7 linked regions of the Tribolium castaneum genome follow. The main gene of each other region encodes a partner of the protein of the gene in region 2 in a complex. Links are inferred from orthologs where the notes say so. Each region holds a gene or a part of one and is shown on either strand. Other genes may lie near its edges.

Region 1 (4,217 bases), on a different chromosome or scaffold from region 2:
ACAAGATTTTTTTAATTGTTTTATTTTTGTAAAAAGCACGCGTCAGCGGTTGCTCGCGTTAAACGCGCATTTTTCTCATTCGTTTATCGATTAAGAATTTGTAGCAAATTGAGTCATAACATAAGTGAATTTCCTCGAAAAGTGCGCGGATTTTCGTTGACCGATGACGAATCGGTCATTTTTATGCAGCCCCCAATTCATCGCGTCAACAAAATGGGTTCCGCGAGTTTATATTTTTCTGCACATATTGCACTTGTTCCTTTTCATTAAAATGTTGGTTTGAAGAGAAATAGAAGGTCGCGTGACGTTCTAGCGTCTGTATAAATAATCCGCAGTGCACACTTCAAAAGGTCAATTTCCAGGATTGGTCATGAAAATTACAAGTTTCCTCGTTGTTGCAGGTGAGATTTTTGTTTGTAGGTCATGGTTGGCTTGGAAAATGTGACACATGGGTTCGTTTGTTTTGACCCAAGCCCACTCGAAATTACGCAATATTTGACCGAAACTTTTCAGGGCTTGTTTTGGCGAGTGTGGCGGGCCAGCAGGGGAACTCCTCTGACAAAATCTCCAGGTTTATCTATGATAGGTGTCGGGTTTATAGCACAGACGCTTCGGCTTACGATGATATAAAGACCCATTTGGGGCAATTTGGCGATTATCTTTCGTACGCTGCGAGTTTATTGCCCAATGGTAAGGAGCAGTTCTGCAACGACGAAAGGCCCACACTGGCCCGTCTAGCCGCCCAGCTTGCCCATGATGTCAAACCGTGTTTGCCCAAAGACGAGAAGTATTTGCCCAAGTTCATGGTTGAAAGCTTCACCTCATTTCTCGACTTTGTGTGTTCCCAAAGAACCATCGAAAGTAAGATTTAAAATTTTGAAAACTATTTTTTATCAAGGAAAATACAGATTTCTTCAGTACCCAAGGGGCAGATTGCCGCCAAAACTTGAAACTCAACCAAGAGGGGCAACAAGTTGGAAACTGCTTTACTAAACTATTCGCTCGGTTTAGCGACGTGGTCCGGAAAGACGACCTGTGCCTGTAGGTGCCCCCATGATTACAAACCCAACTTTTTCATCTTTCTTCTGATTCTAGTGACTTAAAAGCGTCCAAGAAGTGCTTCAGTGAGGCGATAGCCCGTAGTTGTCCCGATTTCGCCGCTTTTGAGTCGTTAAACAACCGATTTTTCCAAGCAATTCGCAAACCCTGTAACTCAGCTATTTCCATTGGCTTCAGCAGCGTTCTACTCCTCCTAGCATCATTCACTTCAACCAAGCTATTCTCATAGTTATTATATTATCCCTCCACGTATTATAAATGTTATTTTTGTTATAAATGTACGATAAATAAATAAATAAGTAGAATTTTGTCTTATTTTCTGACCCCGCGCCCTCTGGTGGCGAGTTAACCTGAGTTTGAAAATTATCTAACCGCCACTCGCCGACCTTGATTTTTTGTTTCCGTAAACCTAACCTAACTTTTGCACAAAAAACCGTTAAAACGGGCTAAAACCATGCAAGAAATCGCGTTGGGGTACCGGGAGGTGATCCCCGACCAGACGGTGTCCGATCCCTGGCGCGAAATCACCCTCAACACGGGTAATATCACAAAAATCGCCGATTACGTAAAACTGAGGTTATGTAACAGGGGGGACACAAGGGACGCTTCAAGATATCAAAGTCGCGGAAAGGGCCAACGGGTTTTGTTACCGCGACTCGACCAGACACCACACCAGGAATCGGTTTATCTACTGGAGGATTAGCCACGATGTCCTGGAGCTCGTGGAGCACAGTCTCGATATAAATCTCGCCGGAAATCGCATCAGATACAAATTTGTGGACACCCCGATTTTGGACGGGGTTTCCATCCATGAGACGTACGATAATGTGGTGGTTCTGGTGCCCACGGTGTGCAGCGTCCATAGGTTGGTGTTTCCGCATCCGGATAAGTACCACCGGCAGGACCATGTCGCGGGGGTTCACCCAGATCTGGCGGCGCCGTCGGTGTTCAGCGAAGCTACGGCCAACGAGGCGAGGGATCCCGCCACATTCCACTTTTTCACCAATTCGAGTAGGTCTTGTAATTTTTTAAGTCACGAGCCGGAGACGAGTGTCGTAACGAGCAAATCATAATTTTTTTTAAATAGGTTTGCCAAATGGCAAAATTAGATACGTTTGCATGATTATTTAAAATATTGGACTTCTCATGACTAGATGAACCCTTATTTAAAGGTTCTCAGCTGCCATATCTGGCCGCCTCTTCCCTGACCCTCGCTGAGGAGGAAGCAATTTTCGTGTTGGCCTACCACTCCGGCGAGATCCTCCTTCTGAGACAGTCCCCCGAGGGCAAAATCGACTCAGCTGAGCTAAAAAGCGAGTCAATCGTGCCCCGCTTTCTCTCAGGTCTCGCCGACAAGCTGCGGTACAACCCTTCATTTTTTCCGGCCCGGAAAACTGACGGTTTTTTTGCAGCCAAAAAGACAAAGAAGGCGACACTACCGTCAGCCTCATTTTACATACTTTCGGTCTTGAAACTTTCGCTTTGACACTTTGCCGCAACGGTCATTTGAAATTCTGGTCGTGCTCAAAGGCCGAATGTGTCTCAGTGATCGACGTCATGGCCGAAACCGGCGCCAGAAACCAGCTGCAAGGCGCTCAGAACCACATCCTGCGGAAAGCCGTCGATGGGTTTGATTCTGAGTGTCTGTTGGGTATTTTCATGAGTTTCGCAGCCAAGAGTCAGTTGCATGTGTTCAAGCCGATGCTCAGTGGCTCGCAGGTTCGGCTAGTGAGGCTTAATATACTTGATTTGGCTCAGGTGAGTCGTAGGTGGGATAAGTGATAGGGGGTAAGTTTGGGGTTTTAGACCGATTTGATCGATTTTACGATCTCGACAAGTCGGATTTGGTCGGTTTGGCGCGGAAAAGAGGGCCAATGTGAGGTGTATTCGGCCTCGAACCAGGCGGGGAGTCACTGGATTCCCGTGGTTCTGGAAAATGTGCCAGACGCCAGCCAACCGTTGAGCATCGACGGGGAGACGGATCCCAGGCAGAGCTACCTCCAGCACATCTTCCACCCGGGCAGGTTCCCCTTGCATATAATCAGCAAGGCTTTGAACGTAAGTTTTCAAGTCAAGCTGATTTTTTTACTGTATTTTTCGAAAATGTGCCATTTGTTTTTCTCTAAACCTCTTAGTTTCTTATTTGGTTGAGGCACAATTAATGTGACTCCTGGCGACCCGACAAAATAACAAATTGTTGCTTTTCAAACCTTTTATTTAAAAAATATACATAAAAATTATTGCGCGTTTTTTGTCACACCAACTGCTTATTATAGATTTACAAACGCTCGGCCGTCATCAGCGACTTGAACCTCTCGGCGGCCCATCTCAAGCAGCAGATCTGCATGGCCGTCGAAGACGAGGTCCAAAACGAGCTGAAGGAAACCGTCGTCAGCGACGAAGATTATCTCGAAACCGCCAGCTACTGCTGGCAACAATTCTACTCCTGTTGCGTCCAATACCACGTCGCTGGACTTAAACCTTTAGGCCTCCTTGTTCTTCCAAACTCCTCCGGGGCCGTACTTTTGAAAAAATCCATGATTTCGTTTTTGCGACCTCTCGATATTTTTGAACATTTCATCTACGAAAGCGACCACATGTTTAGGGACCAATTCACCAAATATTTCCTCTTGTCTGAGAGTAATTAAACCGCACAGTTAATTAATCAATTGTGATTGGTTCATTTTTTGCAGATGTTGATATCACAGACGACGTGATCAGTTTGTTCAAGGTCATTAATTATTTGGATTCGCAGATGAGTGAGATTTTCGCGTACACGTTCGAACGAGAGTTGGCACTGCTGAAGTCGCCTGATGTCGTCATGGGGGCTCTCCTTGAGCAGATCCAGCGCGAGATGGACACCGAGGTTCGTACTTTTTTTATGTTAAAAAAATATTCTGGGGCTTTTGAGCCCTAAAAAACGTTTTACAATTTATTATCTGGTACTTTTACCGTGGCGCCTGGCGAACCATTCTTATATTTATATCACAGAAAATTTTAATGACAGCTGCTTCTGTTGATATCTGCTCAAATCATTTACGGAAAACTCTTGAAGAATTTTAAAATTATTTAAAGCACTGCAATTTATTGTAGTTTTTGAGCTTTCGCGTATTTTTTCGATCTCGCGTAAATAGTTAAGCAAAAACCGCCCGATTTGT
Region 2 (4,001 bases):
CAACTATGAGGTCGTTGTTTCCGTCTATAAATCGGACGGGAGTGTGGCAATCGCGCACGGGGGAGTCGAGATGGGGCAAGGTATCAACACTAAGGTGACCAGTGACTTTGTTTAAATTTGAACTAATCGTACACGTGTAATTGAAGGTCATTCAAGTGTGTGCCTACAAGTTGAAAATTCCAGTCGAAAAAATTTCGGTCAAGCCTAGCAATAATTTGATCGCGCCTAATGCCCACATGGTCGGTGGTAGCTTAACATCGGAAACAGTTTGTCACGTATTACCTCACTCTTGTTTTTTTTGTTTTTCTCAAATATCTATCACAGGGTGTGATTAAAGCGTGCGATATCCTGTTAGAACGCATGGAACCGGTCAAAAAACAGCTCGAAAATGCCAGTTGGGAGGAAATTGTGCAAGAATGTTACAATCAATATGTTAACTTGTCGGCCTCTTCAATGTATAAGTGATTCGTTAAGTAATTAATTTCCGAATAATGTTTTTAGGGGTAGCCCTTCCGAACTGAAAAATTACGCGATTTACGGCGTTTGCTCCTCCGAAATAGAGCTGGACGTTTTAACCGGGCAATATATCGTGCAAAGGGTTGATTTACTCGAAGATGCCGGTACTAGCATGAACGCTGGTATCGATATGGGGCAAGTCGAGGGCGCGTTTGTCATGGGCATGGGTTATTTCACGTCGGAGAAGATTATTTTTAGCGAAAGCGGCGAGTTGTTGACCAATCGCACTTGGAATTATAAACCACCAGGCGCGAGGGACGTTCCAGTTGATTTTAGGATCAAATTTCCGGGCGATACGCCCAATGGCGTTGGAGTTCTCAATTCCAAAGGTAAATAGCTTGAATATGGAATCATAACTGTGGAAAATTGTAGCTATCGGGGAACCACCGCTATGTTTGGCGTGTTCAGTCCCGTTGGCGATACGCAACGCCGTTGCGAGTGCCAGAAAGGAAACGAGAAATTCGTGCGATGAATGGTATCCTTTTTGTGAGTTTTTTGTTAATTTGTTACATAATTGGATAATGAATACAATTTTGTAGCGGGACCCTCAACTGTGGAAGACGTTTTCACGAACTGCTTACACGATTTTAAGCAATATACGTTGTAAAATAAAAAATTGTATTAATTGGTTTGGTTTAATAAATGATAGCTGCGCAGTTTGAATTTAATTTCGCGCCACTCGCAGGTGGCGCCACCGCTTTTTACAATAAAAACAAGATGGTTGTCGTAAATAAAATTTGCGGTAGTTTAACCGTCTGTTGTGTTTTTGTGGCAAAATATTAGTAAAAACCGTCGTGTTTTAATGTGGTGTTAATGAAAATCAATCGCTGCATCTCCTGTGATTTCTATGGATGCCTAACCAATTGTGGTCGTAAATATGTATCCCAACTTTATGAATAAGCCAGCATTCATGAATAACCCACCGAATTCAACTTTTGGGGGTAAGTTTGCCGAACTGAATCGGTGGTTGTTACCGTGGTTGGTTTTCTAGCGTCCACTTCGACTTTCGGACAACCTGCCCCCAACACCTCTATGTTTTCATCAATGCAGCCCTCGAACATCTTCCAGTCTGCGAGCACCTCGTCCTTCGCATCGGCGCCCACAAGCCAAACCAGCTTCGGTACGTACACCCAACAGTTGTTAAAGTTAGTAGGAAACAGAAGTAGTATAACCTCACACTTGCCCCCATGATTGCCCATTATTGTGCAACACGTTCCCTTTTTGTTTACTAACACCAAATACACTAATTTGTATTTTACTAACCCGTATGATGAGAATTGAGTTGGTTTGCGCGAATGAGAGAGTGATTTTTGACAGATCAGCATTGCGATAATAAAGCGTCTCGAATTTGTATTAATTTTATTATGATTGTGACAGTTGAGCCGCCTCTCCCGCTGTCTCCAGATGAGGAGAACTACCTGACGGCCGCCTGTGAGTTTCTATTTTTTTGTTACTTTCAATATTTTTCATGAATTTTTTACAGATAATCGCGAAGCTATACGTAGATTTGAGGTGCAGGGTGGTGGTGAGTAATATTGTTCTACTACAGCCTCGTTTACGTTTCCTTGTCTTTTCAAAATGTACATTCTTTTTTTAAAAAAATAAATAAATATGTAAAAATAAAACAGATAACGTTTCCTTATGAAGTTATGACGGAATATCCCATACAACTCTTGTAAAAAGACGATACTCTCTAGGTCTTTTATTTTTTGTATACAGGGTGACCTGACTAATATTTCTATGCCGTTTTCATGAATTCATAGATCTACTCCAAGTACAAACTAAACACCTTATATATAACATAGTTACATTCCACGTAAAAAATAATGTAACCTTTATACTTTTATACTATTAATAGTATCTTTTTCCTGGAGATTGTACACATTAGAACTAGAACTCGCAGACGTTTATTATTCTCACAGAATTCAAGAGTTCAACTAATAAAATAAAAAACAAAGTTATAAGGCATTTTACTTGATTTTAGATAGCCCGGGCTTGGTTGATCCAGCCATTTTGAGATACGCTGGTGCTGGTGAGTTTTTTTGTCATAAATTTATCTTTATTATTTTCTGGAATTTTTAGGTGAGATTTCTCCCAGACCACCGTATCCCGAATTTCATTCACCTCGCGCTGCTGAGCCGGGACCCTCTGGTAAATCGAAATTATTGTTAAGTTGGAATTGTTTCTATATTTTTTTTTATTTAGGAGAACAGAGAGTTCCACAGCCATTAAGCCCGTTTACTATTACACGTAAGTTAATTTAAGGTATTACGTATATATTAAGTAATTTTCAATAGGCCAAGATGGTAGACCTCTTAACCGACAATTGACCCAATATCTTCAAAGTAGTAAGTATTGCGACAGTTGAGCTTTTCGATTTTATTTTCTTTTAAGTTGGTGGTGGCGGTATTTCAGTTGCTTCATGTGTTTGTAAGTAACGGTTTGTTATTTTCGGCCAAAATTTTTTTAAATATTTGATAGGTACAACAACCAGTTCTATGACTTATTCTATGGCCAATATTTCCGATCCAGAGTTTGGTAAGCTAAGTCGATTGAAACAATTAATTTAAAAGATTCATAGGTTTAGCTGATGAGACAATGAGCGCCCATTGTAAGTATACTTCTTGTCTCATATATCGGGAGACACTCCTATGATTTGTATTTATTTGGTTATTTTATTTTATTGTTTAGCTAGTTTAACTAGGATGTCTTGTAAGTCGTCGTCTGGTAAGTGAGATATTCAATGATGGTTTTAACGGAATGATGTGTGATCCCTATCCATATCCTTTTTTTTTCCCAAGCACAGAATGGGCAATAGTCCGATATTTCATCATTCAGTTTCTTAATAAATCTGTCTGTAGGCACAAATCCCTTTGGCCAGCAACCACAACCATCAACTAGCGGTTTATTCGGTGGCTCAAATGCATTCACTCAAAATAAATCATTCGGATTCGGCTCGGCCCCTCCTCAGCCCGGATTATTCGGCCAACAGCCGCAACAACAACCCGGAACCTCTCTTTTCCAATCAAACACTAATACAATGTTATTCGGAAGTAACGCTTTCGGAAACCAGACCACCGGCACTGTTATTAAATTCAATCCGGTTACGGGGACCGACACCATGCAAAAAAACGGGGTAACCCAGTCGATAAGTACCAAACACCACTGCATCACGTGCATGAAAGAATACGAGAATAAATCGCTGGAAGAGTTGCGATTTGAGGACTATTCGGTTAACCGGAAAGGACCCCAACAACAGGCCGGTTTCGGAAGCACCCCTTTCGGGGCTTCGACCACTACAACGCCCTCGCTTTTCGGGCAAACTGATAACAAACCCGCCTTCGGACAACAACCGCAAGCATTCGGCCAGGCGCCGGCTTTCGGACAAACAACACCAGCTTTCGGATCGACCAACACGACAAGCACTCCGACTTTGTTCGGAAAACCGAACACTTTCGGCGCTACCACTAGCACCCCAAGTTTTG
Region 3 (4,300 bases), on a different chromosome or scaffold from region 2:
GTTAAAAGAGAAATTTTTTGCGGCCAGAGTGACTTACAGTGACCCTGACACAATCACTGATACGAAAATTGAGGAATTTGAGGACTTGGCGAGTGCACTTAAAGTGGCCAATTAAAAGTATTATTGTTTACGTAAAGTATTTATTTAATAAAAAATTGTTAAAAAAATCATCATTTTAATTGGGCTTCGTGTACCAAAGCTCGTGCTAAATTCCGGGTCGCTGACAGTCTCAAGATCGGAAGTTTGTCTTTCAAGTCTTTGGTTTTTTCCTGCTCTTCCAAACACTGCATAATGATGTAGGTATCAGTTGAGGAAAAAACCATTTTTTCGCACTCAAGTAGCGGTATTGCGTCAGTTAATAGAATACTCCAGAAACTACAAGATAATCTTTAGATAAAAAACCGCAATTTTAAGTGTTTTCCCCTTACAAGTTTGGTATTATTTTCGACTCAAGTAACGAAACGAGCAAATTGGCGGCTTCTTTGTACTCGTTCGCTTGATATAACTTCTGGAATTCGTAATATTTGCCTAAAAACATCAACCTATCGCTTGCCAAAATACACGATCCGAGATTATCCAAAAGATCAATACTGTTCAAATCGCCACTTTCGGCATACTCTCGCAGAAATTTGTTCGATAAAAACGACACAAAAGTGCCGTCTTGTGATTTGAGGGCCCAGGCGAGGGCGTGTCCCAGACGCCCCCGGTTTTTACAAGCCATTCCTTGCACTTTACAAATACTTTGTGCCGTTTCGGTTAAATTCCGGTTCAGAGCCTCTCTCACAATTTTCTCAGCCCGCATTTCGGAATTTAGAGGCAGTCTTGCAAGTAGTAATTTTGTGACTTCAGGGCCATCGCTGGGACAGTGGTCCAAGTAGCTTAAACCGACCTGCCATAGTGACTTATGGCCCATTAAAAGCGAGCCATAATCGATTAAAAATGACTCGCGCAATTTATCAGGGTGGCTGAAATAATAATTGTAAAATAAACGGTTTAAAAAAAATCGGGGACTCACAAATTTTCAATAGTTTCGATAGTTGTGTCGCTTAGACGGCCTGAATGGTAAAGTAGGTCGGTTAAGTGGCTCACAAACCAGCCACTGTCTGTCATATTTTGGATTTCTTTAATCACCTGGCAAAGAAATGTTAGAATTTATGTGTACATTTGCAAAAAAGTGTAAAACTAAAAGTATAGCCGAAAAATACAGGATTATTCAAAAGTCTCAGTTTTATTTAATAACTTAACAGAGGTGGCGCCATATTACCTGTAAAATATCAAACTCCATTGCTGCCAACAACATCCTATCCAAATGCTTAATTCTATTCCCTATGGACATTTTCGTGATACACTGTTTGGCAAACTGTCCCAACTCAAACGATTTAACAGTAGGTTGGGTAAAAAATAACCACGCGGCTAACATTTCATACCACGTCTCGCAATACTGCTGTATTTCCCCCCATGCAATTTCGTTACCAACCGTAAGCTACAAAAAATCTTATAAAGAAAACTACCAACTCAAACACACTTAAAACAAAACCTTCATAATCAAATTGAGATTATAACAAGAAATAAACATTTTCGCATCAATTTTCGATTGAACATCCACGACCCAATGATTCCATTGTAGATTAAATTCAGCGATTGAAGTCCCACTAAACATCTAAAGTCGGCCATGAACACCTGTCAATTTCTCCCAGCCTACTTACGTTATAAACCGGCATTGCTCTCAGACACTGATCCACAATTCTGAAAGGTTGTGACTCAGCTTCTGAGTGTAATTTAAGTAGGGCCCTAACGACCTTGACCCGCCCTTGTAATAGTGACCCAATGACAGTTTCCCAATAGTCAGGGTGTGACTCCAAACCACCCAAATCCCCAGCCAACATACTTGCCGCATTTCGGTCATATTTCGGAAAATGAAACCGAATCCAGTCCAGTAAGTGGGGCAAAACAATGTTGCCTAAAACCCCAACTGTTTGGCAAAAATCCCCAAATTTTGTGTCACTACAGAGGTCTATAACTTAGGAGGAAACGATGTACGAAATTACCGGATTTTCTGAACCTAAAAAAGTCCGGAATTTTTTTTAAATATAGTTAACGATAAAACTACCGAGTTCAGGACGTTTTATTTGTACGTCGTTTCGCATCCTAGCTTTTAGATATCCGTGTCACTAACCCACCTGGGACCGCATCAACAAATAAGATTTCACACAAGTGCCAAATACACTCAACTGAGTAAAAAATCGTAATGTAATTTTGCAATTCTTCGCGATAATCGCCATCGGCTCGCATCACCTCGTCTTGCAAATTCTCCAAACAGGCCCTTATTATGGACCTGTACTGCCGGCTAAGTTTCAATAATTCGGCCTTGTGGTCGCCCTCAGTGGCTACAAGGGCTTGAAGGGTTAGAAACGTCCCGTTGGCCTCATTTACCAATTTGCGTAAAATTGGTTTGAAGAGAATAATGTCGGGGCGCAGCTGAAACACAGAGGCGTCCGAGGGGGCAAAGTGACTCGGTTTATCAACTTTTGGTGTTTTCTGGTGGCCGAAAACACCGAATTCGTTGACGGAAAGCCACGAAGCCGCCACTCCAGCACGTCGGCATAACTCATTTGGAATAACCTACAAGTTATTATGACCTAACCTCAAAAATTGATCGCTGCTTACGAAAGTTTTGGCGGTATTGTCCATTAATACGGGTCGGGAAGCGTTAAATAACACGAAATTTTGCGCCTTTTCATTCAAAAAAACCGTATTTTTTTCGAATTTTGTTTGAGGAGAGCGGTTAGCCGGGTCGGTAATTTAGAAATCTGTTCGGTTACTAGGGTTACTTTCGTTTTGGGTTGGTAGCGAGAACGGTAACGGTAGGGATTTAACTTCGCCGTCAATCCTGTGGGCGGGTATTTTGAATTTGTTATATTGGGGTGATACTCACGTTGAGGCCTTCTCCTGGTGCGAGTGTGACGTTGAGCGCGATTCTGTCGGTTTCTTGCGTACGAAAAATCGCATAATGAAGTCTTTTTCTTTGAGCGTTTGAGTGTCAATGCTCCTAATTTCTGCCTCTCTGGCTTCCTGCATGCGGGCTTGATCTGCGAGGAGCTTGTCAATTAGATCCTTAATTTGGCCTCTGGAATGTTCAATTCTGGAGGTCCACTGTTTCATTAAACGGTAGTTTTCCCTTGCTTTGTTGCTCCGATCGTTTACTTTCACACTAGTCATGTCCCGGAGCATCGTATGGCGAACACTTTGACTTTCGAAATATCGCACAATGTAATTTGAAAGGGTGCTTAAGTAAAGCATCAAGTGGTTTATGTTCTCGTCAGTGCTTACTTTATTTTTTATCAAATAATTGACAATAAACCAGTCCACTAACTGCAAGTCGTATTTTGCCAAAACAAGTTAGAGAATTATCGGGACTTACCCGAAATTCAGTCACTGTGATTCCCTTAAGTGCGTGGCTAACTGCAATTTGTTTGATTAAATCGAGCGCTTGTTCGATGCGTCTCTGTTTGAGATAAGTTAAAACCATTTCATGAACGTGAAGTAACGAGACGAAATGAGTGATCATTCGTCTTTGGATAGTATATGTGTCTGTTTGCTGATTCGGGTTCCGGGCACTTGCAGCCCCAAACTTTTCTACCACTTTATCAGGCATTTTCAATGTCCTGCCAAAAAATAGAAAATAACCCGGCGCATCCACCATTTTTCAAATTCAAATAAGTGTTTAAATACGTTCTGGAGTAAGCTAGTGTTGTAAAAAAAACATATGATACGTAAAATGAGTCGCTGAATTCACTGGAATAAACCGTTTTGTTCTACGAATTTTAGTTTTTGAGTTATGAATTTTTTGAATAGGCAAAAAAATTAAATTAAATAAAACAGTACCCTGCGTGGATGTCGCTAACAATTTGCCCCAAATGCCTCTTCAGAAGCGACAGCACTAACTGTGAGGTTCTGATGGTCAAGGGGGCCAAATGATCAGCTGTGAAAGTCTGAGACTTGATGTACATACTCTGCAGTTCGCCGTAATGAATCAATTCACTGTCACACTTCGACACCGAAGGCTTTTCAGACAAATGAAACGAGGGGGAAGTACATATCGAAGGATAGGTGATTGATGGTGGAATAGTTTCGATACTCCCGGTATAAAAAATATGGGAATAAGTGCTTTGTTCGCTACCTCGTGGACGACTCAATTTTTTACCCATTTTAATTTGACGTAAAATAAAACAAAGTGTCACAAAAAACATTTATTAAGACTAGATTTTAACAAAAAAATACTACGATTTAAATATATCAA
Region 4 (4,201 bases), on a different chromosome or scaffold from region 2:
GGCAATATTTTCCCTCAATTTACTTTTTTGCAATTCGGTAATAAGCTAGTAATACACACCATTCGTCGTCTTTATGGGCAACAAAAAATTCGTTAAGTTGCTGTCGCTGGAACTCCAATTTGTAGTCATTGTATTTTTCGATAGCTTCACTATCGGAAATGTTATCGTCCTGGGTGGCCAGAAACGCCTTAAAGGACATCATTGGCGGCTGCTGACCCTCAGACTGAGACGATGGCGGAGGTTCTCTGAAGAAATTACCAGCTCTTTGAAAATAGAAGATCACGCGTTAGTAACTGTTATTTTAAATTAAAACCGAAACAAAACGAAATCTAAAATAACAATTAAAACATGCGACTAATTACGATAAACATTCAGATACAGTTTGAGGAAACAATGAACGGTATTTTCTATAAAAATGCAAACCATGCAAGGCGATAAAATAAAACACACAATGGGGCAAAAGTCATTAGCAATTCCCTATTCTAGATTTCTTAACTGATATTATGTAAACAGCTAAAGCAGTTTTTAATTACGAGCATCATAATTTTTTTAATAAACCTTGAACGCTGGTGCACCATTTTTTCCATGCATTTTAGCAAAAACCAGCAACTACCTGTGCGAGCTTTGGTGATAGGGCGAGTAATGGTTGTAGTAGCTATCAGCATAGTAATCGTGGCGCAGCCTCTTGGGGGCTGGGTCCAGACTCGGCGAGTATCCCCTGTCTCTCACCCCCGGGCGGTACTCCCGAGGCCTAGGTCGTGACCAAGAGTCACTATAATTTCAACACTAGGACCGAATAAGCCTCGTATTGACTCTTACCGTTCGGCCCAGTCGTCCCTAGGTCTGGCAACCCGTTCGGCCCCCCTGTAAGTGGCTTCGGCGCGTTCACCTCTGAACTTATCGCGGCGTTTGCGGTCGTATTCATCGTCACTATCAGCCATTTCCTGCAATTAAGTCGGGAAAAGTGAGCACTAGCACTGAGCACCATGAGGGTGTAAGTAGTCAAAATGAGGGGGTGCTAACTGCGGGTGGTGGGTTACTGGTCTAGGTGGGTTCGATAGAAGACTCACTTTCTGTTCTAAAAATAATACTTTTGGCGATTTTCCGGCGAAAATTCGGATTTCTCTTGAGGAAGTTGATACAAAATTATGGCCGACACGTCAAAGACGCCGTGGGGGTTTTGCAGCCACCAACCTATGGTGGTATGACTGGTGACGCCGCATTATCGCAACATTTAAACGCAAAAAACTGCTCATTGTGGGATTATTTATTTTTGTTTCAATTACTACAGTCATGTAACTGAGTTGATAAGCTGTAAGAACAGCTACAACAGCCCGTAATTTGCATTTTTAATTTTTTTATTTGGATACCGGTCCCTCCAAAAAAGCAAAATCCCTAGCTTTGATTACTGACGTCAGTTGTAAGATGGTGGACGTCCGTTCGTGCGTTGTGAAATCTCATGTTGTAACGGTTTTATAAACGTTTTCTAAAATTTGTGAAATTGCTCGTTTAAATGTACGTTTGAGTGGACGCTTTTCAAAATGTTTCCCACAAGGAAAGCCGATGTCGATAAACACGTTGAAGAATGCTTGAAGAAGATAAATAACGAGACAGAGGTAAGGTTTTGAAATCGCTGTCATTCCGTTACGCCGGTCGAGAATTTCTCATTTTTTCGCGTTTTGAAAACGCGTTTGCTTATCAGAAAGGGCCCAAAAAACCATCACCCTTATCGATTCCACCTGTCCTAATTTTAAAAATTGCGTATCATTTATTATTGGAAGAATGTCTCACGCATCAATGTCACATGCAGGGAACCTTTGGCGGGAAATTATTTTTAGATTATAAAAATTCTTAAATTACGCTTCGTGTTAGGTCCAATTTGCCAAGATTTTTGGCAGTGTTGGCGAATCGTTGGCCTTTTTTGTTATCCAGCTGAGCCGGCAAGGTCATGCCTAATCAATAAATTGGCTAAACCCTTCTATCATTTGAAATACTCATTAACACAGTTATTAATTATTATATTTTGTAATTATTATTAATTTTGTTACACCTCTTACACCGTGGCGGCTTGAGGGTTCAAGAGTCAGTGAACAGCTAACAGCTAGTACACAATTTTTTTTTGTAGTTAATGATAGCTCCAAGTGCTCCAACATTTCATTTTTAACTTTAAATTTGTATGTGTAATTGTGTATGTATGTAAAAACTCGCCGTTACTTATTACAGAATTTGTCTCTGTATTCTTTAACTAAGTGTAATGTCTGGATTTTTTTTAAACAGCTTTGAGCTACAATCCATAATTTTTGCATTTGGACATGTTATTTCACAAGCTTTATGAATACCTAACTCAAAATCAATAACAATTTTTCTAGAATTAAGAGATAAATTATATATGAACATCTTTTAACAAAGTTGCATATTATTTTTTAGTTTTATTTAGTAACAAATCAAATACTAATGGTACGTAGTGCCCATTCCTAAAGCTATGAACGGTGAACATTTGACAAAAAAATCAGTACAAAATTCGAAGGTAACACCATGAAAAGTGTTTATACTGAACAAATAAATTTCTAAAACAACTAAAGACAATTGTTTTGTTTGTTCATCGACTCAAGATTCAAAATCTTCGTGCTTTTTGGTTTTTAGTTGTAATGTTGCTGCCAAATATTTCTTCTGATTTTCTGGAATCATTTTCTCTTAAGTCATCATCCTAATGTATTATTTTAGAATGTTTTTTACACAAATCTTTAACAGCTTTTTTTTTTACTGAGTTACTGATTATTTGCCGCGATATGGTTGAGTCTATGTTTGTGGAAACCAGAAAACTGTACTATTTTGTCTTCTTGAGGAAACTTCGGATATAATTTGCCACTAGCGTTTTTTACAATTTCTTCAAAAACTTTTCGGAAAAATATAATATTATAATCGTACTCGCACACTCGTAACTTTATTGAGTTATACCGACACTACGATTTTAAAATTCTAATAACTTTTGCTTTATATTGATTCTTCTTTCAATTCCTTTTAATTTTCAAACTGACTCTGGTGGGTATATTTCTAAGAAATTACTGTCTCATTGCATTGTCTCCTTAATGAGTCCCTATTACCTGGCCTACCAAGGGCATAATTGCACCCACTCTGTGGGGTATTGTGGTCGAACTCAGCTATCGGTTTAATCCCTAATTTTAGTATCAAAGGATTATTTTTGCAGCGGTGGACAAAAAAAATCAATGTTGGAGTTACAGTTAGGGTTGAATTGGCCTTCTTATATTATCCTCATATTTTGTCTGCAGTGCGATAAGCTGATAAAACACTAGACTTGATTTGTGATAGCTGATTAACTGTAATATTTCACTAATAAAGATACGTAAAATAGTAAATTTCGTTTTATTACAGCGCAATCTTCGTTGCCTGTCTTTCGCTAAGCAGTATTTCAAAATCGAGCGTTTCGAGGACGCTCGTCGTTACGTCTCGACGTATCTCAGTGCAAGACCAAATTCTGCAGAAGCTCATTGCTTGCTGGGCAAATGCCTGGAAGCACTGGGCCGTAAAGAAGCCGCTCTTCAAGCCTACACGACCAGCCTTCGGCTTGACTCCAAACAAAATAATCTCGTCCTGAAAGGTACGTGAAGGCTTTTTATTTTCTAATTTTTCGGCAACGTTTGCGTTCCAGTTTGCGAACTCTTAGCCTCCGACGACGTGGAAATGGACCATTCCGGTGCTCGGTACTTTTGCGAAATGGCCCAGTCTTTCGACCCTCACAATCCTGCCATCTTCAACCTGAAACAGCGCATCCTCACGTCGGAAAATGACGATCCTCGTGATGTCTCCAATCTGATTTTGAAGGAGTTAGAAACGCGGCCGACTGACGTCAAGTTGCGGGTGCGTCTGTTAAAACATCTCCTGCAACATCATTTGGTGAAAGAGGCGTACAAGCATGCTGCGGATATTGAAGCCAAAGACTTGGCGATTTTTTGCAATGTCACTTGGTACGAAGCCGTAGCCGAGGTCTTGGTCAAGTACCAAAGAACGGTTTCGTTGCCTAACTCGCTCGGTTGGGAGTTTTGGTTTTTGTCGGTCTCCGTTCTGGACAAATTGGCCGCATTGACTTTGTCCGAAACCAGCGAAAATATCAAAACTACAACCGAATACATCAATGCAATATTTAACTTTGACCAAACTTTGACAAAAGCTGCTCTCAACA
Region 5 (4,168 bases), on a different chromosome or scaffold from region 2:
TGCGATGTCGTCAATTTCCACCGTTCCGCTTCGGCATTAAACTGCGAGACTTTATGATTATGAGCAACTTTTTCAGTAAATTGTGCATTTTCGGGCAGTTCAGGTGGTGGCATCGGCTTATTCCTATACTGTCTAAACCACTCGTTAAACGCCTCATGTGCATCCAAATACGCTTTATAACTCAAATAATTCTTAACAATCTGATGAATCTGCTCTTCGCTGCGTATCTTCTCTATAGAATCGTAAGGAATTTTATTGATTGCCAATTGGGCTGCTTCTAATTTGCCCAAAATCAGAAATTTGAAAATAATAGAATTGGTTTGAGCCAATGCTTCGGCTCGTTGCTCCTCGTAAAACATCAGCCAATCAATAGCGGAGATTTTGAGTTCGTCGATTTCGGTGATTTTACCTTGGAGATTACCGGGAAGTTCGGATTCAGACGGTCGGCTTGTTATAATTTCGACGATTTGTTGCGTTATAGCAAATACGTCCAAACTGAAATCTTCAGCGTAAGTAAGGGCGTTTTTGCGTTGCTCAGTCGAAAGCAGTTTTTCGCAGTGTTTGGCGTAAAGTTGGATTTGTTTGGATTTTCCCAGCTTGCTCACGTAGAAGGCCACAAGCTGGGTTTCGTTCATTTCGCTCAAACGCTCGATATATCTAATTAAACAAATGATATTAAAACACAAGCAACGCAGCGGTGAGTAGCAAACACTTTATGTTTTTTTATAGAAGCTCGAAGTCAAATAAAACAAAAAATAATACCGTAGCTATAAAAAAGTGGTAAAAATATTAAAAGCAATAATTTAGTTCTGACGAGATTATGGTCAACATTAAGAACATAAAATACACTAGACACAAATTTTTTTATAGTCACCATACCGGGAGACTAAAGCGCCCGGCCTTAAGTCGAGTTATACAACCAAGAAAACTTACGTTTCGACGATTTTTTCACACGTTTTTCTATGAGTGGAGTCTCCGACGCTTTCAAAAAACAAAACTAAGTGAGCATAAAATCGAAGAGATTGTGTCGTAACACTTAGATCTTCACTCCACTGATCTAGGAGGCGTATCAGTGTGGGAATTTCGTCTAAAATGACAAGTTTCTGAATTACATGATCAATTTCATGCGCTTCTTTTGCAATGTCAATATTTTTCGAGGCTTCCAAAATTGTAAAAATTTCACTTAATGATTTCTTTTGTTCCCAATATTCTTCAGGTAGTGGTATGTAGTTTTTAATGATTGAGTCGCGAATTTCCGATTCAACACGAATATCGACCATGGTTCGCATGTAGGCCCACAGGTGGTCCTCCCATGTGGTACAAACGGGCAAAATGCCCTCCAAGAAACCACAAAGACTACCAATGGCGGCTTTTTCATAAATGTTCAAGTTTGACTGAAATTTTTTAGTAGTTTTTTCAAATTTATAAAACAGCCTCCTTGATAGATACGAAACTTCGTCTTCAGTCCTAAATTTGGTTAATTATTTTCCAGAAATTTTAAATAAATAAACATAAAATAAATACATGTTTTACAACTGCCAAAGTGACATCGGTTTATCTAGTAACAATGGTATCAAAAAAAAAGATAGCGAAGTTCCCGAACTGTCAAAGAGGCTGTGGAACGAAAAACTTACCCTATGACAATAATCTAATGCGCAAGATTTCCACAAATCCCGCCTTTGGTTCCCTTCTACGTCTTTATACTCTTCAAGACTTGTTTCCAGGTTGGGATTATGAAAAAGCTTCCAGCCTTCTAACATCGCAGCGCGCCATGGATAACCACTGTTGTAACATAACTGAAATTTAATTATTGAATAAATAATAAAAGGCTGAAAACAGCACAAACTTCCTGGGCGCCCTCAAGGTTGCCGCACCTAATTTCCATAAAAATTCTCTGACATAGTTTTTTGTCATTGTCGTAATCCAAGTGGTGCAGCGATAAGCGCTGAAACTGTGGCGCATCTGGATGTATGTTCTTGATAATATCCACATTACTCCCAATTGCAATAGCATCAGGTGCTAGCAATTGATGCAAAGTGTGTTCCCATCCATACGTCCAGTCTGAGTGCATTAAAATGGGGTCCCCCTTCTCCAGAGCGTTCCTCTCGAGCCAATCGATCACCAACTGGCTTTCCCTAACCAAATTCTCTCGTTTGAACAGTTCGCACACACAGTTCTTTTCACTGCTCCCGAAATCCTCCTCAAACCCTTCCTTACTGTGGTTCTGGGCCTGGATCCGATCCTGGTACAGGACATACAGCAGTCTCCAATTATTCCGCTCATTTTCGAGCCATTTCTCTTCGGCTAATTCACTAGTGGCCACTTTGGCTTTCAGTGACTTAACCACCGCCAAAGCGTCACTACAACACCTCGCCAAGTCTTCGGCCACGTCCAGGATATCAAGGCCTCCGGTGGACCCCTGCAGGATATCCGCAAACTCTGTATATAAATTATTAACAGTGTTTTTCCATGGAGTTCCTGCTTGGATCACCGACCCGGTGACCGTTTTGTCATCATCGACAAATAAAGACAAGGTGTTTTGATAAACACTTCCATATTCCAGGCCGGTTAAGTCTTCGGGGTTTATTGTAAAGCTGAGGTTAGGTTTTTCACGCTTTGGAGTTGCGGTCGAGACCTTAAATAGCCCTTTTGTGGGGGTCTGGAGAGCGTCTTCGAGAAGACGCACCGACCGTTCCAAATCATTATCCATTTTTAATAAAAAACACACACAAAAAGCCGTTGCATAACCTCAAAAAACAAGTCTAGCGTTGCCTCAGAGCGTTGCAAAGTCCCTAGATTCAGGTTGGTAACAGTTTTTCTTTTCCTCGATCGTCATTTGTTTCAAATTATCGCGTCTGTTTGTGTTTATCGTGTTTTTTGTTCAAATTGAAGGAAAATTGGTGAAAAAAGTGTTGAATTACGTAACTTAATTAAGTTCAATTTATAAATTGTGGTAGGAAACACCGGTTTTTTTCAAAAATTTGTAAATCATGTGTGAATACTGAATTTGGAAAAATGATGTTACTTAGTGTTAAGTGTAATTTTTACATAATTTGGTGATTCCAGTGACAAAGTAAGGTAAGGTGCATGTTTTTTTAACAAAATTTAACATTATAGCACATTATTGGTACTATTTTCGGAAATTCAGTGAATTTGGTTGGCAACACTTTTTCCATTATCGCGTCTCTCGTGTGTGCCCGGATCTTTTTTGTCTACATTTATGAAAAATTTGTGAAAAAGTTACCTTAATTACGTTTTTTTTATAAATTGTGGAAAAAAAACACCAGTTTTTCCCCGGATATTCCTAAATTCAGTTACTGTGACAATCAGGATTTGGAAGAATGAAGTGTTAAGTGTTAGTTTAGAAGTTCAGTGTTAATTTGGAAGTTTCAAGCACAAAGTAAGGTAACTTGCATGTTTTTCAACAAAATATTAGATTATTGCACATTATTGTGGGCATTATTTTTGGAAATTGGTGAAAAAGCAAGTTTTCTTGAAAACTTGTAAAAAACATCACTTTCCAAATATTTGTCAATTCATTTGTGGTTAGGAAAAGTACATTTTAAGCACAAAGTGAGGTAAATTGTACGCTTTTCAACAAAAATTAGATTACTGCACATTAGTGGTATGTATTTGTATTTTCGGAAATTCATTGACTTAAGATTCTGGAAATATTGGGCGACTTTTCAGTACTTGGAGCGTTTTTTTTTGTCAATAACTTCGGTTGTAGGCATTTAAAGGAGGCAAAAATCCACAAAATTTTTTTTATTTATATTATATTTTCGTTGGTAGCTTAAACTCTTTGAACAAACACTACGCTTATTATTAATTAAATATTATTGTACTAAAATGTTGTAATAAATACTCGTTGTTAGCACTAGTCTAAGCTTACAAAAGAAAATAAATATTTCAACACGTACGCGTATCAAGTTGTACAATCTTATTCAATAATAACAATGTAATAAGGTATAAAAATAGTTAAGTAGTCTTTGCATAATTCAACAATCGAACACTTGTATCTTATCAGCTAGAGATCACAGATGTTGCCAAATAAAAGGCACTAAAAACACGAGTCCGTGTCCATTTCTCACATCCATCTCTAGGAAGAAAGAAAAATCATAATTTGGTTCTGTACACTTCCATTTGTACGTCTTGAGTGAAAGCGGGA
Region 6 (3,620 bases), on a different chromosome or scaffold from region 2:
AGAAACCATAACTTCGACTTCCTGGATTGACAACCATGTAATTTGCACTGTGTCAATGGACCATACGATTAAATTTTGGGATGCTGAGTTGTGTGGTATCAAGAATGAAATAGTTGGCCAGAAGGCATTTTTGGATTCTTCTTGGTCTTCCCTATCTAACACATTATTAGCATGTTCAGCTGATAGACATATTCGGTTGTACGACCCAAGGTCTTCAGAGGGTTCAGTGGTCAAGACTACTTTCACCTCACATACGCTATGGGTCAGTTCAATTGAATGGTCAAAATACGATGAACACCTTTTTATGTCGGGAGGATACGATTCTGGTGTCAAATTGTGGGATTCCAGAAGCCCTAAAGCCCCACTTTATAATTTAGAGGGACACCAAGGGCAAGTCCTAGCTGTAGATTGGTCCAATAACAAGTATCTGGTCTCTGGAGGGTGCGACAATAGTGTACACATTTTCAGAAATAATTATGTGTTTTAAGTGAAAAATAAAATTAATTTTAAAAAAATTTATTAGTTTCAGCTTACAAAATTTAACGTAAAACATTTTCCTTCATTAACGCCAACTGGAGAATGAGGAGCTCCTACAAAAAAAAATGTACTATGCCATTTATCAGTTTAAAAATTCTTACCCAGAGAACGGCGCACTCTGCGCTGGGGCGTTGGCAGCTTGCTGTGCCAAATTCCCAAACCCTACTGTTGGTTGATTGGCTAAATTACCAAAAGCTGTGTTCTGGGTACTAGCAGCTGCCCCAAACCCGGGGCTTGAGGACCCAAACACCTTTGAAGTATTCCCAAAAGCCGGTGGGCTGCCAAACGCCGGCGCTCCTCCAAAACTAGGCGAACTCCCGAAACTGGGCGATCCCCCGAAAACGGGAGCTGCCCCAAATCCCGGTTTTTGGAAGCTCTGACCTGCCCCAAACCCGGTTTGTCCCACAGTTCCACTCCCACCACTGAAGGGCCCCGCAGGTTGCTGACCGAAACTGCTACCCCCGAAGAAGGACGACTGTTGGCCGAAGGAAGATTGGTTCCCGAAACCGGTACCAAAACTCTGGGACGTGTTACTGAAGAGCGATCCACCACTGGAACCGAAAACTGAGCCACTTGACGACACTGGAGAGGCTCCGAAAACGCTCTTATCGCCCCCGAAGGGGTTCGCAGGTGCACCGAAACCCGAACTTGCAGTCGTTGAAACATTGAGACTTCCGAAACCGAACGTTCCGGAACTGGTATTGGTGCCGAAAGTACCGGACTGAGTAGTGGCAGGGGCGAAGACATTCGACGAACCGAAAATAGAGGGAGTCGTAGATGCAGGTGCCCCAAAAAGTGAGGGGGCAGTGGACGCAGGTGCTCCGAATAAAGATCCACTAGTACCGAAAGTACCTCCGCTTGTAGTCGTTGCCCCAAAAATGCTCCCAGAGCTCGTAGTTGGTGCATTTCCAAAGACGGAACCACCCGTTTGGCCAAAAGCGGGTGCTGAACCCCCGAAAACGTTCGTACTACCTGACGAACCAAAAACAGAACCTTGACCAAAAGCGCTTGTATTTTTGCTCCCATCGAAGGGCTGGCTTTGGCCGAACGTTGAAGAAGTTGTGGTACCACCAAATATCGACGGCTGTGTGCTTCCGAATATTGACGGTTGAGTCGCATTTGGTTTTGCATTAAATAGGGAAGGCTTTTGGGCGGCGTCTCCAAAAAGACCGAACCCTTGAGATTGAGTTGTCGTTGTAGGACTGGCAAAAGTCGACTGAGTGGTACCAACAGGAGTTCCAAAAACTGGGGTAGTGGGAGAGCCGAAAATTGACGATTGTGTCGTAGCTGCAGCCCCAAATGAACTAGTAGACAAAGGGGTAGCACCACCAAAAATCTGAGTGGTAGGTGTGGTAGCGCCAAAAACAGTCGCTGGTGAAGTACTTGACGAAACATTGCCAAAAATTGACGGCTTTGATACATTACTATCGGTACTTGCAACAGTACCAAAGACAGAAGCTGTAGTGGAGGATGATGGCAGGGCTCCGAAGATGGATGGTTTCGAAACGTTTGAATCCGTGGTTGCAACAGCCCCAAAAACACTTGATGCAGTTGTGCTGCTAAATATTGACGGTTTCGAGGCGCTAACTTCGGTACCACCAAAGAGTGGTTTAGTTGAAAGAGCACCACCGAAAAACCCAGTTGTGGGCGGAGCTGAAGATATGGTTGGAGACTGAGTAGTACTACTAACAATAGAGCCGAAAATTGATGAAGTTGTCGCTGGCGAAGAGAAAATTGATGAAGTTGTTGCTGGCGAAGAGAAAATTGATGACGTTGTTGCTGGCGAAGAGAAAATTGTTGAAGTTGTTGCTGGCGAAGCGAAAATTGATGGAGTTGTTGCTGGCGTTGAGAAAATACTAGTTGAAGATGGGACTGTTGTAACAACAGGAGCTGTAACACCGGTAGTTGTAACAGCTGTAGTAACAACAGTGGCCGCACTGGTGGCGATTTTCGGTGTTGTAGTTACGGCAGGAACAGCCGGTGAGGGAAAAATAGATGATTTAAGTGCCCCCAATGAAAACGGTGAGGACTGAGTTGATGGAGTGCCACTGGTAGTACTAACTGAATTTGGAGCTGTTACACCAAAAGTGGGTTGGATTGAGACTGGACTCGAGACAGCTTGCGTTGTTTTAGGACTGGTTGTTACAGAAGTCGTAGGGAAAATTGAACGTTGGGTACTGCTAGCAACGGGGGAAACGGCAGAAACCACCACATTTGGAGTACTTGTTGCAGAAGTAACTACTGGCTTTGTAGAAAACGTAAAGGTTTTCGATGTCGCAGCTTCGGTCACTTTTTGTGTTGCTGCACCGAAAATACTTGAAGTATTAGTAGCGCCACCGAACGAAAACTGGGTGGAGGTTGGTGCTGTGGTGGTAGCAATACCAAATGACGGAGTAGAAGTTTTCGTAAAAATCGTACTTTCCGCGGTAGTACTAACACTCGTGGATAGATTAAAAACAGAAATAGACGTACTGGGTTTGGTAGTCGCTGCACTACTTGTTAAAATGGGCGCCGCACTAGTAGTTTGTAAACTGAACGAAAATGTAGTTTTAGGCAAAGATGTGGCAAAGAGGTTTGTCCCCACCTTTGGGGTACTGCTAGTAACTGGTTGGGAAGACAAATTAACAAACGATTTAGGTGCTTGCATGGTTGCAGTACTAGTCACTGCCACAAAACTGGGACTTGTTTTAATAATAGACGCTGTCACGGCTGTAGTTGCAGCCATGAAGGTGGGTTTGTAAGTATTTGCTGATGCAGAAACCGAAGTTGAGACAAAAGCCGAATTTGGAGACCCAGCAATCACGTTTTTAGTCAAAGGCGTGAAAGTTTTCTCGGGCAAATTTGTGAAATTTTTAGCCTCGAATTTAAGGGCTAAATTTTGTAAACCTTCGATTGGAGTTGCCGTGGAGTCGAATTTGAGCACAGTGGGTTTGGGAGTTGACTGCGCAAAATCGAGAACCCGAGGTGCAACTGAAGTTTTTTCGGGAAGCCGACTAAGTTGTTTTGGCGGAGTTTGGATTACGGAACTGGCCAATTGAGGCTTCACGAATGAAATATGTGGATATTCTCTTTTTTGGAGAAAA
Region 7 (4,068 bases), on a different chromosome or scaffold from region 2:
TTGCGCTCATGTTATATTTTTTTGATAAAACCATTAACATTATTATTAGTTTAAAAAATATTGGTTACGAAAATGGTATACCTAATTTTGGTATGTTTTCATGCTGAAGTAAATTTCTGTCTCCTGTCACATATGACTGACCATGTAAAAACTCGGTCAACGAAGATCCCTAATCCACTTTAAATCATCAGCAACATATATTGTAAAATGCTGAATATTCATGTTATATAAACTAATCTATAGACATTGAAGGAACTTGCTTCATATGGATTTACTAATAATGTCCGGGAAATACAGGGAATGAATTGCCAAGAATGAATGTCTAATATTTTTACAATTATTGCAGACATTATTTTCTGTGTTTAAATACGTACGTATCATTGATTTTTTGGGAAAGTTCATTACATAAAAAGGCAAGGATAATTTGGAATTTCTATTGATGTGATTGTTTAGATAAACAATTTCGTTGTTAATTGTTACTCTACTCACTATAGTGAATACAGTAAATCAAACTCTCAGTAGGAAGTACTGCAGCCACCTTTTATTTTCTGATTTTTTTCTTCAATAAATTTGCCACAAAATTAAAAAATGCATTTTTTATTTCATAGTGAGAAACAACACAAATACGACTATTGAAATGTACCTAAACCTGCCAGCTTGATGAATTTTCGATTTCAAGAAAATTTTACTTGAGATTTAAAAAAAATTGAATTGTTAATTTTAAATATTGCCGACACGTTAATTTTTTTTTGTGTATTAAACAGTATTTAACATTATCTTAATAATAGTATGTTAAAGGAAGAAATATGTTTTTTATCGCGGCAGGTATAAAAATAGCAGTAAAATTTGATAATGAATTTATTAATAAATATTTGTGATAGGCAACCGCACTAAACACTTGTGTTTTGGCAGTTGCCGCCTTGAAAAAATTTCAATATTAAATTTTTTTGAGGTACTATTTATACGTTTGAAAACTGTAAAAGTTATTCACATTAAATCAAATTGCATGTATTTTTTTGATTTTTTAAAAATTTGTAATTTTTTATAAAAGATATTTGGCAAAAAATATGGTTGTATTTTTAAGGGTAATAAACATTTTTATTAAAATTTTAAATATTTGTTGTTATTTTGTTCAAAAACTTCAAGTAAATTAACAAAATTAATTTAATGATTGAATTCAAAATTTTGAAAAATCAGCGGGAGAGCTTTGTTCCTAAAGCGCCAACTTCGTGTTCTTCGAGGGGGAGCGCGCGCAAAAAGCGGCTAACTTCACACTTGGAGTCCGCCATATTGGATCCTCGTGTGGTGAAAGTTGTCATAGAAATGTGTGATTTTCCAAAATTACTTTATTTGTGTAAAATAGACTAAGAACAATTGTAATTATGGCAAATAATAATAATGAAGGTGCCGAAAACAGTCCAGACAACTCGAAAGATGCAGGATTGGATAAGGTTTGATAAAATGCGTTCTTTGCACATATTCGCGCGTTCTCACCTCTAAATATAGCTATAAAAGTTTCTCACGAAATAGTGTCTTTACACTGCCCAAAAGTCGCCCCAGCACCTCCATGCAACCTGGCAGTGCCACCAGCACGCGTTTTTAACCTTAGTTTCTCGCATTTATTTATTTAACCTTGACGTGTAAGGTAGCTAACAGGTCCTATTTTGAATTTGTCTTGCAGTCGTTCGTGGGCAAGTTCGTGTCGGGGCTTTTCAACAGCACCCCCTTGTCCAAGTGGTTCGGCAAAGACTCGGCGTCCAAGTCGGTCAAGAGGCGGGAGGACGACGACGACGACGACGACGACGACTTTGATGCCTCCTACGTTTTCCAGCCACCAAGCAAACGTGTGAAACTACCGTCTGAAGTGGAACACAACAATTACAGTGCACATATATTTGAATCGCCAGTGACTGTGCATAATGCTTCCAATAATGTTAACAATGTTTCGTCGAAAGTGTTTGGGAAGTTTCCTGAACCGGTGGCGGGGCCGTCGGGGGTTAAATCCCGCAAATTGTTCGACAGACACCGTTCTGCTAGCACAAATACGGTCTCTACCAATTCGTTCGAAAATCAAGAAATTGTTAACGGTGAGAATGACTCTGACAGTGAAGAATCAACTAGTGGCTATTCTTCGGCACCCAAATTGCTTAATCAACCCAAAAGTGCAGAAATATCTCACAAGGAAACATGTGAAAAAGTCACTCCTAAAACTAGGTCCTTGTTTACTTCATGTAAGTTTACGTTACATAATGTTTGTTTTTAGTTTTTTTGCAGTGTTTTCTTAACTTTGGCAACCGTTGGGTACATAATTGTCTCAGGAATACTTTATTATACTTTTAGTATTGTGACTCATGCCAGAAAAATGCACAATATGAAATTACAAATTATCAAAACTCATAAATACGATCCGTTTAAAACCATAAGAAACTGATAATACCACAAATGATTAAATTAAAGTTTTTCTCTTATCAGCAACTTTCATGCTTTTGTATACAAAAAGCAGGTCTCCAGTTACCAAAGTAAGAAAAATGTTTACGCTCATTGCTGTTAGCTAAAGTCTGTAAAAGACCTCTTACATTTATATCATTGCCAGTATCTGCAAGACTCTTATGACGAACATAAGTTGTTTGGGTATGAGGTCAAAGTCTAGTAAAAATTGTATTTATGCAATAAAGGTAAAATAAACTATCTGATCTGTTTATAGGCTTCTAATGAGATATTGATAATTGTATGAAATAAGGTTAAAATACGTACCGATATAATAAACTTGTTATGGTTATTAATGGAACTAGTAATTTCCTTGTTTTGTTTTCTTTTATAATATTTGACCTCTAGGTTAAAGTACAGCATCGCTGTACACACAAAAATGTCATCACTTTCATTATACCTACGTGACGAGCAACAAGTAAATTAGTCACTGTTCTCGTATTGTTAATAAATTTTGTTTTACATTTTTACCTTTTTTTTTAAATTCTTGAAATTCCGGCTCGTCATTTTTGAGCTTGTCTTGACTTTTATCTATTTTTACCATTTATTAATTCACTATTATGAGCACTTTGTTGTCCTTTTTATAATTAAATTCAGAAACCTAAAAAACTCTTTCTTCTACCTTCTTGGGTGAATTTCAAAAATTAGCGTTATAAAAAATTATACACTTATTAGAATATCAGGTTCTATAATAAAATTGCTTTAACAAGAAGATTTAAATAGTTTAAATCTGGACAATATGTCACAAATCGCGTCTATTCAGTTTTTCACTGAGTCTGATATTTTTTCACTGGAATTAATGAAAACGTAAAAAATAATCGTTTGTTGCCGACAGTAGGTCGAGTAAAGATTGTTTTAAAAAAATGGGGAAGAGGAAACGTGATTTTTTTATTTTTTGTTATTAAAAAAAATACAGTTTAGCGAAACACCAGTCTTTACATAATTTGCTTTTCATATTGTGTACTCGGAAAAGGGGAAATAAAATCTTAGTCATGTTCTAAGTCTATGATTTAATTCTTGATGAATCATCTTTGCCAAAATTTGAACCGGTCGAGCTTGATAATGGAAATTATAATACAATGAAAAAATCCATGAGTATTATTCCGGCTTCAAATGCAGACTTGGAGTATTTTTGCTTATTTTTGCTATTTTCAGGATTGAAAATATACAATTTTGAGTACTTTTTATAAAAAAATATTCAAGAGTTGGCAAAAGTATGGACATTATACTTCAAATAGTTATTTAAATTGTGCCACACTCCTTATAAATCATGTGTTTTTATGAATATTATCGGTTTTGTGTTTTCTTTAGGCTTATTAATTAAAAAATTGAAACAATCAATTCGTTTTTTAGCAAACGAATCAAGCGGACGTACTTTATTCTCGGAAAGAAGCCCCAACATGAACACTTCTTTGAGTTCAAGACGGCCATCGTTTAACGCATCGACTTTCGGCTCGCCGAACTTTATTGACAGAACATTGTCTACCAAGAGAATATTGAGCTCACCTTTCTATAGCGGCAATACAATTTATGGCGGCGCCTCTGCATACGGACGTAGGTTAGGTAAAATTAGCGAAGAAA

What was found.
Region 1: Nup98-96 (region 2) and Nup160 share a complex: the UniProt entries of both Drosophila melanogaster proteins name them as parts of the nuclear pore complex. The link is inferred for Tribolium castaneum from reciprocal best matches to the Drosophila melanogaster genes Nup98-96 and Nup160.
Region 3: Nup98-96 (region 2) and Nup75 share a complex: the UniProt entries of both Drosophila melanogaster proteins name them as parts of the nuclear pore complex. The link is inferred for Tribolium castaneum from reciprocal best matches to the Drosophila melanogaster genes Nup98-96 and Nup75.
Region 4: Nup98-96 (region 2) and E3 SUMO-protein ligase RanBP2 share a complex: the UniProt entries of both Drosophila melanogaster proteins name them as parts of the nuclear pore complex. The link is inferred for Tribolium castaneum from reciprocal best matches to the Drosophila melanogaster genes Nup98-96 and Nup358.
Region 5: Nup98-96 (region 2) and Nup107 share a complex: the UniProt entries of both Drosophila melanogaster proteins name them as parts of the nuclear pore complex. The link is inferred for Tribolium castaneum from reciprocal best matches to the Drosophila melanogaster genes Nup98-96 and Nup107.
Region 6: Nup98-96 (region 2) and Nup214 share a complex: the UniProt entries of both Drosophila melanogaster proteins name them as parts of the nuclear pore complex. The link is inferred for Tribolium castaneum from reciprocal best matches to the Drosophila melanogaster genes Nup98-96 and Nup214.
Region 7: Nup98-96 (region 2) and Nup153 share a complex: the UniProt entries of both Drosophila melanogaster proteins name them as parts of the nuclear pore complex. The link is inferred for Tribolium castaneum from reciprocal best matches to the Drosophila melanogaster genes Nup98-96 and Nup153.

The regions. Positions count from the first base shown.
Region 1 is NC_087395.1:25,114,010-25,118,226, reverse strand, and holds the start of Nup160 (nuclear pore complex protein Nup160 homolog), read left to right. Parts: upstream 1-1,417; 5' UTR 1,418-1,513; coding exon 1,514-1,598; intron 1,599-1,647; coding exon 1,648-2,070; intron 2,071-2,231; coding exon 2,232-2,421; intron 2,422-2,471; coding exon 2,472-2,817; intron 2,818-2,865; coding exon 2,866-3,117; intron 3,118-3,335; coding exon 3,336-3,699; intron 3,700-3,752; coding exon 3,753-3,925; intron 3,926-4,217. Other genes in the region: uncharacterized protein LOC655733, read left to right, coding at 371-401, 514-861, 909-1,041, 1,096-1,288. UniProt on the Drosophila melanogaster protein: Functions as a component of the nuclear pore complex (NPC). Involved in poly(A)+ RNA transport. Required for nuclear import of Mad. May play a role in double strand break DNA repair. Essential for nephrocyte development.
Region 2 is NC_087403.1:3,514,342-3,518,342, reverse strand, and holds the start of Nup98-96 (nuclear pore complex protein Nup98-Nup96), read left to right. Parts: upstream 1-1,201; 5' UTR 1,202-1,393; coding exon 1,394-1,457; intron 1,458-1,507; coding exon 1,508-1,636; intron 1,637-3,377; coding exon 3,378-4,001. Other genes in the region: uncharacterized protein LOC656938, read left to right, coding at 1-94, 147-275, 325-455, 502-845, 889-1,002, 1,056-1,123. UniProt on the Drosophila melanogaster protein: Part of the nuclear pore complex (NPC). Required for MAD import as part of the Nup107-160 complex and required for nuclear export of Moe probably via its association with Rae1. Plays a role in nuclear mRNA export.
Region 3 is NC_087399.1:876,580-880,879, reverse strand, and holds Nup75 (nuclear pore complex protein Nup85), read right to left. Parts: upstream 2,801-4,300; 5' UTR 2,692-2,800; coding exon 2,668-2,691; exon of another isoform or gene 2,623-2,667; coding exon 2,181-2,622; exon of another isoform or gene 1,961-2,180; coding exon 1,707-1,960; exon of another isoform or gene 1,661-1,706; coding exon 1,538-1,660; exon of another isoform or gene 1,484-1,537; coding exon 1,265-1,483; exon of another isoform or gene 1,132-1,264; coding exon 1,016-1,131; exon of another isoform or gene 966-1,015; coding exon 429-965; exon of another isoform or gene 376-428; coding exon 171-375; 3' UTR 121-170; downstream 1-120. Other genes in the region: oxidized purine nucleoside triphosphate hydrolase, read left to right, coding at 1-115; uncharacterized protein LOC660898, read right to left, coding at 2,803-2,890, 2,936-3,372, 3,422-3,665, 3,886-4,250; mRpS23 (small ribosomal subunit protein mS23), read right to left, coding at 4,281-4,300. UniProt on the Drosophila melanogaster protein: Component of the nuclear pore complex (NPC) that seems to be required for NPC assembly and maintenance. Required for nuclear import of phosphorylated Mad via importin msk.
Region 4 is NC_087394.1:28,910,596-28,914,796, forward strand, and holds the start of E3 SUMO-protein ligase RanBP2, read left to right. Parts: upstream 1-1,401; 5' UTR 1,402-1,541; coding exon 1,542-1,616; intron 1,617-3,393; coding exon 3,394-3,619; intron 3,620-3,670; coding exon 3,671-4,201. Other genes in the region: Ars2 (serrate RNA effector molecule homolog), read right to left, coding at 60-263, 614-772, 820-941. UniProt on the Drosophila melanogaster protein: E3 SUMO-protein ligase. Component of the nuclear pore complex (NPC), a complex required for trafficking across the nuclear envelope.
Region 5 is NC_087395.1:26,509,934-26,514,101, reverse strand, and holds the start of Nup107 (nuclear pore complex protein Nup107), read right to left. Parts: upstream 2,801-4,168; 5' UTR 2,711-2,800; coding exon 1,847-2,710; intron 1,797-1,846; coding exon 1,635-1,796; intron 1,395-1,634; coding exon 934-1,394; intron 658-933; coding exon 1-657. Other genes in the region: sodium-coupled monocarboxylate transporter 1, read right to left, coding at 4,117-4,168. UniProt on the Drosophila melanogaster protein: Plays a role in nuclear pore complex (NPC) assembly and maintenance. Required for nuclear import of Mad. Mediates the association between the nuclear pore complex and a subset of active chromatin regions adjacent to lamin-associated domains.
Region 6 is NC_087398.1:6,201,336-6,204,955, forward strand, and holds the end of Nup214 (nuclear pore complex protein Nup214), read right to left. Parts: coding exon 639-3,620; intron 591-638; coding exon 563-590; 3' UTR 501-562; downstream 1-500. Other genes in the region: ribosome biogenesis protein WDR12 homolog, read left to right, coding at 1-487. UniProt on the Drosophila melanogaster protein: Part of the nuclear pore complex. Serves as a docking site in the receptor-mediated import of substrates across the nuclear pore complex including emb, RanGAP and phosphorylated Mad. Protects mbo/Nup88 from proteasomal degradation at the nuclear pore.
Region 7 is NC_087394.1:31,197,843-31,201,910, reverse strand, and holds the start of Nup153 (nuclear pore complex protein Nup153), read left to right. Parts: upstream 1-1,268; 5' UTR 1,269-1,382; coding exon 1,383-1,451; intron 1,452-1,681; coding exon 1,682-2,231; intron 2,232-3,840; coding exon 3,841-4,068. UniProt on the Drosophila melanogaster protein: Component of the nuclear pore complex (NPC), a complex required for the trafficking across the nuclear envelope. Functions as a scaffolding element in the nuclear phase of the NPC.